Macaca fascicularis: one gene and its partner. The protein of the gene in region 1 interacts with the protein of each later gene in a pairwise test. Links are inferred from orthologs where the notes say so. Each region holds a gene or a part of one and is shown on either strand. Other genes may lie near its edges.

Region 1 (4,077 bases):
CAGCCTCGGAGTAGCTGGGATTACGGAGTGCGCCACTACTCTTGGCTAATTCTTGTAGTTTTAGTAGAGATGGGGGTTTCACCATGTTGACCAGGCTGGTCTCGAACTCCTGACCTCAGGTGATCCTCCAGCCTGGGTCTCCCAAAGCGCTGGGATTACAAGTGTGAGCCACCGCGCCCGGCCTGATCCCCCTAGTTTCTCAAGTCTGAAACCTGAGACACTTCCCCAGATTTTTCTTTCTCACCCACCCCAGCAACTATTCAATTAACAGGTATTTCTCTCTCTCATATAGTTCAGCGTTCTCTTTCAACCCCCAGGTCATTCCTTCGGTTTAAGTCCTCACCATCTCGTCTGGCATTCTTCCTAGAGTGTCATAATTAGTGTCCATGCCATTGGCACCCCCCCGCAACTTTCAATCCAGCCTCCAACACTGAGACAGAAGTCAGTGCTCTGCCTTAAATTCATCAACGCTACTCCAAGCATATCAGGAAGCCCAGGACAAAACCGTCCTTACTTGACCCTTGGCTGACTTTCTAATTCTCAGGTCTCACTTGTTCCTCTGCAGCCTTGCATACTGAACTACTCATTGCGATCCCCGGCTTGCCAGGCTATTTCATCTCTCCAAGGTTTTGGCAGAGGCTATTCGTGCTTTCCGGACCAATCCTACCCTGGCTTATGGAGTCCACCTGGAAAATTCCCACAGGTTCGTTCTTCGACTCGGTTCAAACGGCACGTCCTCTGGGAAGGCTTCCCTGATTTCCAACACTCTTGGGGCCTGTACCACGTCTACCTGGCGCTGGGGCTACTCACGGCATAAAGTGCCCCCACACACTGTCCTCTTCTCCACGGACAGGGACCAGGTCTGATTCCCCTTCGGAGACCCCCCCCTCAACGGTGCCAAGCTCAGGGTTTGGCCCCGGTCGAGAAGTCAGCCCCGCGTTGCTGGAGGAACCGGGTCACTGCTGCGACTCCATTTAGCAGCTGAGGTCTCAGGGAACAGCTTTAACCTCCTCTGGGCTACCAACCCGTGCACTGGCCGGAAACCGAGGCGAGAAAGCCTCGTGAGCCCGCTCACAGGCGCCCGGAACTGGGCCGCGGACTCCCTCCCCGCGCCCGCGCAGCTCCTGGCGCGCCCCTCGGCGCCCCGCCCCGCGCCCCGTGTTCCGCGCCAGGCCTCCCTTGGGCCCGCGAGCAAGTCACGTGCGCCGCGCCTCGGCCAATGTGGCGGCTGCGCAGCGCCCGGGCCCGCCCCTGGGACGCGCGCACGTCGGGGGCGGGAGCGGCGCACGCAGCTTCTCGGGCCAATAACTGCGCAGCGCGCGGGACCCCGGTGGGGAAGCTCCAGCTGTCGCGGGGTCCGCGCGGGAGTCGGGGCGGCGGAGCCATGGTCGGCCAACTGAGCGAGGGGGCCATTGCGGTGAGGAGGTGCCGGGGGCCGGGCCGGCGGTGCGGGATGGCTGCGGCCCCGAGCCTCGCGGAGTGGAGAGGGGGAGGGGAGCCCGGGGCGACGGGGGATGAACGCGAGGGGAGGAGAAGGCGGGGGGCGGTGGGGACCCGCCGAGCCCCCGTCTAGTGTCATCACCCCCTCCTCAAAGCATTCTTCTGATCGTCTTTGAAACATGCTCACGTTTTTCCTACTTAAGAACAAAGTAAATAAACGCTTGCCTTTTTCTGGATCTTCCACCTGCGGCCACTTTCTGTTTCTTCTCCTTTCCTGCCCCGCAGCCAAACTTCTTGTCTGGTTTCAGCCACTTCCTTTCCTCGCCTCTCATCAACTCTTTAACCCACTCCAGGCATCCCCTTGATCGCTGTAGAAAACCCTGGCTCAAGGGACCAGTGTCCTCCAAGTTGCTAAATCCAGCCCTTTTCCGTTTTCAGCTTACCTGAGTTCTCAGCAGCGTTTGCTTTTGAGCCCTGCTTCTTCTGCTCACGCCCTCTTCCTTGGGTTTTAGTGGCTCAGCTTGGCGGGTCTATCCCCGTCTTATTTGCAGGCCCCTCTTTGTAAATTTTTGTTGACTCAAGGCTCCCTCTAGGCCCTCTTGACTCCCAAAGGCAATTTCTTTTTTTTTTTTTTCTTCCAGCCTGGGCGACACTCACTGTGTGAGTGTCACACTGTGTCGCCCAGGCTGGAGTGCAGTGGCGCGATCTCGGCTCACTGCAACCTCCGTCTCCCGGGTTCAAGCGATTCTCCTGCCTCAGTCTCCCGAGTAGCTGGGACTACATGTGTGCGCCACCACACTTGGCTACTTTTTTGTGTTTTTATTAGAGACAGGGTTTCATCATGTTGGCCGGGCTGATCTCGAACTCCAGACCTCCATTGTGTCGCCCGCCTCGGCCTCCCAAAATGCTGGGATTACAGGCGTGACAAATTTCTTTGTATTGAGCCACCTTTACTCTAAAAGACAAACTTCTATAATCTATCTGCTTATTCCATGCTTCAGAGGCTTTTAAGTTCAATATACATATCCCAAAGCAAATTCGTTATCTTTCTAAGTCTGGGCCTCTTGATCCCTATCTCCACGAATGGTACCATTATCTGTTCAATTCAGTGCTAACCAGAGATTGAGAAATCATTCCTCCTACATTGTCCATCACCTGGGCGTCCAGTTCCTCACCAAGCGAAGTGTATTGTACCTCCGCGTAGATCTACCAAGCCCACCGGCTTCTTTCCATCCATACTGGCACCATCTTTTTTTTTTTTTTTTTTTTGCCTGGGCTGTTCACTTCCACTCAGCATACGTTCCTGCCACCATTCCCATCCACAGCATACTCTCAGCCTACTCTCCAGTCACCCCCACATTTTTTTTTACATTTAGATTTCTGGTATTTTTCATACTCCTCCCTTCTTCCATGGGGCATTTGAACATTTTTTTTTTTGAGACGGAGTCTCGCACTGTCACCCAGGCGCCCAGGCTGGAGTGCAATGGCAGGATCTCGGCTCACTGCAAGCTCCACCTCCCGGGTTCACGCCATTCTCCTGCCTCAGCCTCCCAAGTAGCTGGGACTACAGGCGCCCGCCACCATGCCCAGCTAATTTTTTGTATTTTTAGTAGAGATGGAGTTTCACCGTGTTAGCCAGGATGGTCTCGATCTTCTGACCTCATGATCCTCCTGCCTCGGCCTCCCAAAGTGCTGGGATTACAGGCATGAGCCACCTCGCCTGGCCGAACATATGTGCCCTTGAGTATTACATTTTGTCGCTTTGTATACTTACTAGGGCTTTTCTTTTTTTTTTTTTTTTTTTAGACAGGATCTCACTCTGTTGCCCAGGCTAGAGTGCAGAGGCGCGATCTCGGCTCGTGGCAACCTCCACCTCCCGGGTTCAAGCGATTCTTTTGCCTCAGCCTCCCAATTACAGACGTGTGCCACCACGCCCAGCTAATTTTTGTATTTTTAGTAGAGACGAGGTTTTGTCATATTGGTCAGGCTGGTCTTGAACTCCTGTCTTCAAGTGATCTGCCCACCTCGGCCTCCCCAAGTCCTGGGATTACAGACTTGAGCCATTGCACCGGGCCGTAGTCTTTTTTTTTTAAATGACAGTCTCGTTTTTTGTCTCTCAGGCTAGAGTGTAGTGGTACGATCATAGCTCACTGCAACCTCTAACTCCTGGGCTCAAGTGATCCTCCCACCCTAACCTCTCGAGTAGCTGGGACTACAGGTGCATGCCACCGTGCCCAGCTAATTTTTTTTTTTTTAATTTTGTGTAGAGATGGGGTTTCACCATCTTGCCTAAGCTAGTCTCGAACTCTTGGCCTCCAAACAGTTCTCCTGCCTTGCCTCCCAAGTCTTTGGGATTATAGGCATGAGCCACTGTGCCTGGCCTTGTCCCTTAAAATGAGTTATCCATTTGTAAACAGCTGGTTTCTTTGGAGCATTGTCCCCATATACTTTTCTTTCATAAAGCATTGGTGATTTCACCCTTCTTCCACCCAAGCTTCACCTTGAATTTGGTGTTCATTGTTGCTTCCATTTTAGCAGAATTCGTGTTGCTCCCATGGGACTCTTTTCAAATTGATGTCTAATCCTTCTTAGTGCCTCACACTAGATCTTGTTCAGACACGTTATAACAAGTTAGTA
Region 2 (4,089 bases), on another chromosome or scaffold:
GCGAGACGGAGTCTCGCTCTGTCGCTCAGGCTGGAGTGCAGTGGCACGATCTCGGCTCACTGCAACCTTCGCCTCCCAGGTTCAAGCAATTCTTCTACCTCAGTCTCCTGAGTAGCTGGGACTACAGGCGCGCACCACCATGCCCGGCTGATTTTTGTATGTTTAGTAGGGAAGGGGTTTCACCATAGTGGCCAGGCTGGTCTCGAACTCCTGATCTCGTGATCCACTTGCCTCGGTCTCCCAAAGTGCTGGGATTACAGGCGTGAGCCACCGTGCCTGGTCAATTTTATTCTTTTAAAACTTGAAAGGTATATATAACTTCATGTTCTTCTATAAGTTTTAGATATACTCCACATATTTCTGTAATTTTGAGATAGCAAAAAGTGAATTATTTTAACCAGTAAAAGAAATGAGAGCATTAATAAACTCCTCAAAACTCTACTAATTTAAGCTATTAACTAACTACAAAGGATTGTTAGGAGGTTACTTGCCAATGGTGGGTTCCAGTAACTGTGGTTCCTTTATTAAGCCTTTAAATCAATAACACCCAAAATAAAATATTTTATAAAGAAAAACAAAATTTCAATAAAATATCAAAACATTCTTGGCCGGGCATGGTGGCTTACACCTGTAATCCCTGCACTTCAGGAGGCTGAGGCAAGTGTATTGCTTGAGTCCAGGAGTTTGAGACCAGCCTGGCCAACATGGTGAAACCCCGTCTCTACTAAAAATACAAAAAAGTCAGCTAGATGTGGTGGTGTGTGCCTGTGGTCCCAGGTATTCAGGAGGCTGAGGTGGAAGGATCACCTGAGCCCGGGAGGTGGAGGTTGCAGTGAGCCCAGATCCCGCCACTGCACTCCAACCTGGGAGACAGAGCCAGACCCTGTCTCAAAAAAAAAAAAAAAAAAAAAAAAAAAAAAAAATCTGGGATCTATTTGTATAACTGCTAGAAGTTCAGAATTTACTCCGTAAGAGTATATAAAAAACTTACTGTGATTTTATCCATGTTTTTCCTAATATGTAATAGGCGTAAATCTTGTACTTTTCTGTCCTTTCCACAGAGCCTTGAAAATAATTTAGAGCTCAGTCATTCAGTTTGGATTTATGTATAAATTGAAATATATTAATTACTTATTTATAGTGCACTTGGCAAAAAATACCTGGAAAATTACAATTTTAAAACAACAAAAAATTTTAAAAAGCCAGTGTTAAGATGTGACTTATCTTAGAGTATGATAATCATTGAAAGACGATTGTCTTGCTATTTCTTAAAAAATACTCCTAGGTTTTTTTTTTTTTTTTTTTTTTTTTTTTTTTTGAGATGGAGTTTTGCTCTTGTCACCCAGGCTGGAGTGCAGTGGCGCTGTTTCGGTTCACTGCAACCTCTGCCTCCTGGGTTCAAGTGATTCTCCTGCCTCAGCTTCTCCAGTAGCTGAGATTACAAGTGTGCACCACCTCGCCTGCCTAATTTTTGTATTTTTAGTACAGACGGGGTTTCACCACGTTGACAGCCTGGTCTTGAACTCCTGACCTCAAGTACTCCATCTGCCTCGGCCTCCCAAAGTTCTGGGATTACAGGCGTGAGCCACTGCACCCGGCCCAATGCTCCTGGTTTTAACGGTTTGAATGAACGGGGGACGTGAATTCTTGAGAACAGTAATCACGGTGGTACATTTTTCCCCCTGCACATAACGTACAGCACTCTACCGTTTTGCCAAGCACTTCATGCTCCTAAAATTTCTGTTGCATTGTTGTTTGAATGAATGAATAAATGAGTCTTTTAAAAGTAATTGTAGAAGTTGTAGCATTAAGAAATGAAGAGGGGGACTAGTAAAAATGCATTTTTATAGAGATGTTGGGAAAGGCTTGCTTGAAATTACACGTGGGACTTTTACTAGACAGGCGCTTTGACCAGCTAAGCAACAGGGCTCCCCTCGTGTGGGGCTTTTAGAATGTAGCAACCACTGACACACAGGGAAGGATTATGCCGTCAGGTGAGAAGGTGGCCGACCCTGACTGGCTGGAAGCAGACGCATTCTGGTAGCTGATTGGTCCACAGGTAGCGTGAAGCTTGTCACGTCCTCAGGCTCCCAGCATTCAATCGTAGCCTTTCAGACAGCTTGAAGCCTTCTGTGGAGAGCTCAAAGCCTTCTGTGGAGAACTCAAAGCTGTCCGTGGAGCCCCAGACGAGCCAAAGCCCACCTTCTCCTCGGCCTGAACTGTCTTGAAGATGAGTAACAGTGGGTTTGGGAGCTATGGCAGCATTTCTGCTGCTGATGGAGGGAGTGGAGGCAGTGACCAACTGTGTGAGAGAGATGCAGCTCCTGCTATTAAGACCCAAAGACCTAAGGTCCGAATTCAGGACGTTGTACCGTGTAATGTGAACCAGCTTCTCAGCTCTACTGTGTTTGACACTGTGTTCAAGGTTAGGGGAATTATAGTTTCCCAGGTCTCCATCGTGGGGGTAATCAGAGGGGCAGAGAAGGCTTCAAATCACATTTGTTACAAAATTGATGATATGACTGCGAAACCAATCGAGGCCCGACAGTGGTTTGGTAGAGAAAAAGTCAAGCAAGTGACTCCACTGTCAGTCGGAGCATATGTCAAAGTGTTTGGTATCCTCAAATGTCCCACGGGAACAAAGACCCTTGAGGTATTGAAAATTCATGTCCTAGAGGACATGAACGAGTTCACTGTGCATATTCTGGAAACGGTCAATGCACACATGATGCTGGATAAAGCCCGTCGTGATACCACTGTAGAAAGTGTGCCTGTGTTTCCATCGGAAGTGGATGATGCTGGGGATAACGATGAGAGTCACCGCAGTTTCATCCGGGACGAAGTGCTGCGTTTGATTCATGAGTGTCCTCAACAGGAAGGGAAGAGCATCTATGAGCTCCAGGCTCAGCTCTGCGACCTTAGCCTCAAGGCCATCAAGGAAGCGATTGAATATCTGACGGTCGAGGGCCACATCTATCCCACTGTGGATCAGGAGCATTTTAAGTCTGCTGATTGAGGCAGGGAAAACATCCTTTCCTTTTCCAAAGATCCCTGCATCCATCTGAGAGTAATTTTGACCTGATGACTTTTTAGGAAGTAGGACTAAAAAAAAAAAATCTCAAGTGGCATTCTTTGTCAACTCGCTGCTTTTCTAACTGCTTTGAACTCTTCAGATTTTCTATATTTGAAGCTCAGAGAGAGATGGTGATGGATAAATTGACAACTCTGTAGGATTTACTAGCAAGCTAATGGAAACATGATGACTTGAGGGGAAGAAAAACTACAGAAAATGTAGAAATGTATTATTTAATTGTGTTGGAGCTTCTTTTCCCAAAAAAAAACCAAACAACAACAACAACAACAAAAAGTCTTGCTTGTTTTTATGTTAGAGTTATTTCCATGTTTGGATTTAGCGTATAATGATATTATCTCTTGTTCAATATAGTATTTAGTACTTCATTAATTCAAATGAGCTGAAGATATTAATTTGTGAATTCTAATGCTCAGTTCAAACATTTATGTGTGATTTGCTCTCATTACTATCAATTTATGTTTTCTTAAAATAAGATTATACTATGTTTAAATAAATCATTTTTGCCAGGTTATCTTTGAATTTTTTTTTTAATGTGGTGAAGTTTAATGATTATTTCATACATGACGTGGTATTTGGATGAAATTACAATTTATTGCACTTGCATGGTAAATGGATGCCAGAGTTTCTGTAAGTTTGATGTGCTGGTGTATTATTTATTTTACTAAATGCTCTGTTTTATGTATAACAAGGTAATTTTTAGGAGGTTAGGGAAGCAAGTCATGGGAATATGAAACTTCCTGAGTTTAACACAAATTTATTCAAATGTTTTATTAAAATAGTTTTATAAAATCTTAACTTTCCTGTGTGATTTTTTTTCTAAGTACATTTGAAAAAGCATTTTTGTTTTATATCCTTAAGGATTAATAGTTTTAATTATCCAGATTTTTTTCTTTTCTATATATAATACCAAGAACATATGCTATAGCCTAGTTCTAACAATACATTTTAGTGTAGATTATATAAATTATATGAGACTTTTAAATAATTGACCATTA

What was found.
Region 2: the proteins of RPA1 (region 1) and RPA4 interact in binary tests that used the Homo sapiens proteins (3 or more experiments, as listed by UniProt). The link is inferred for Macaca fascicularis from reciprocal best matches to the Homo sapiens genes RPA1 and RPA4.

Annotation. Positions count from the first base shown.
Region 1 is NC_088390.1:1,945,552-1,949,628, forward strand, and holds the start of RPA1 (replication protein A 70 kDa DNA-binding subunit), read left to right. Parts: upstream 1-1,277; 5' UTR 1,278-1,384; coding exon 1,385-1,417; exon of another isoform or gene 1,418-1,425; intron 1,426-4,077. Other genes in the region: SMYD4 (SET and MYND domain-containing protein 4), read right to left, coding at 344-388. UniProt on the Homo sapiens protein: As part of the heterotrimeric replication protein A complex (RPA/RP-A), binds and stabilizes single-stranded DNA intermediates that form during DNA replication or upon DNA stress.
Region 2 is NC_088395.1:103,604,322-103,608,410, forward strand, and holds RPA4 (replication protein A 30 kDa subunit), read left to right. Parts: upstream 1-1,289; 5' UTR 1,290-2,230; coding exon 2,231-3,016; 3' UTR 3,017-3,886; downstream 3,887-4,089.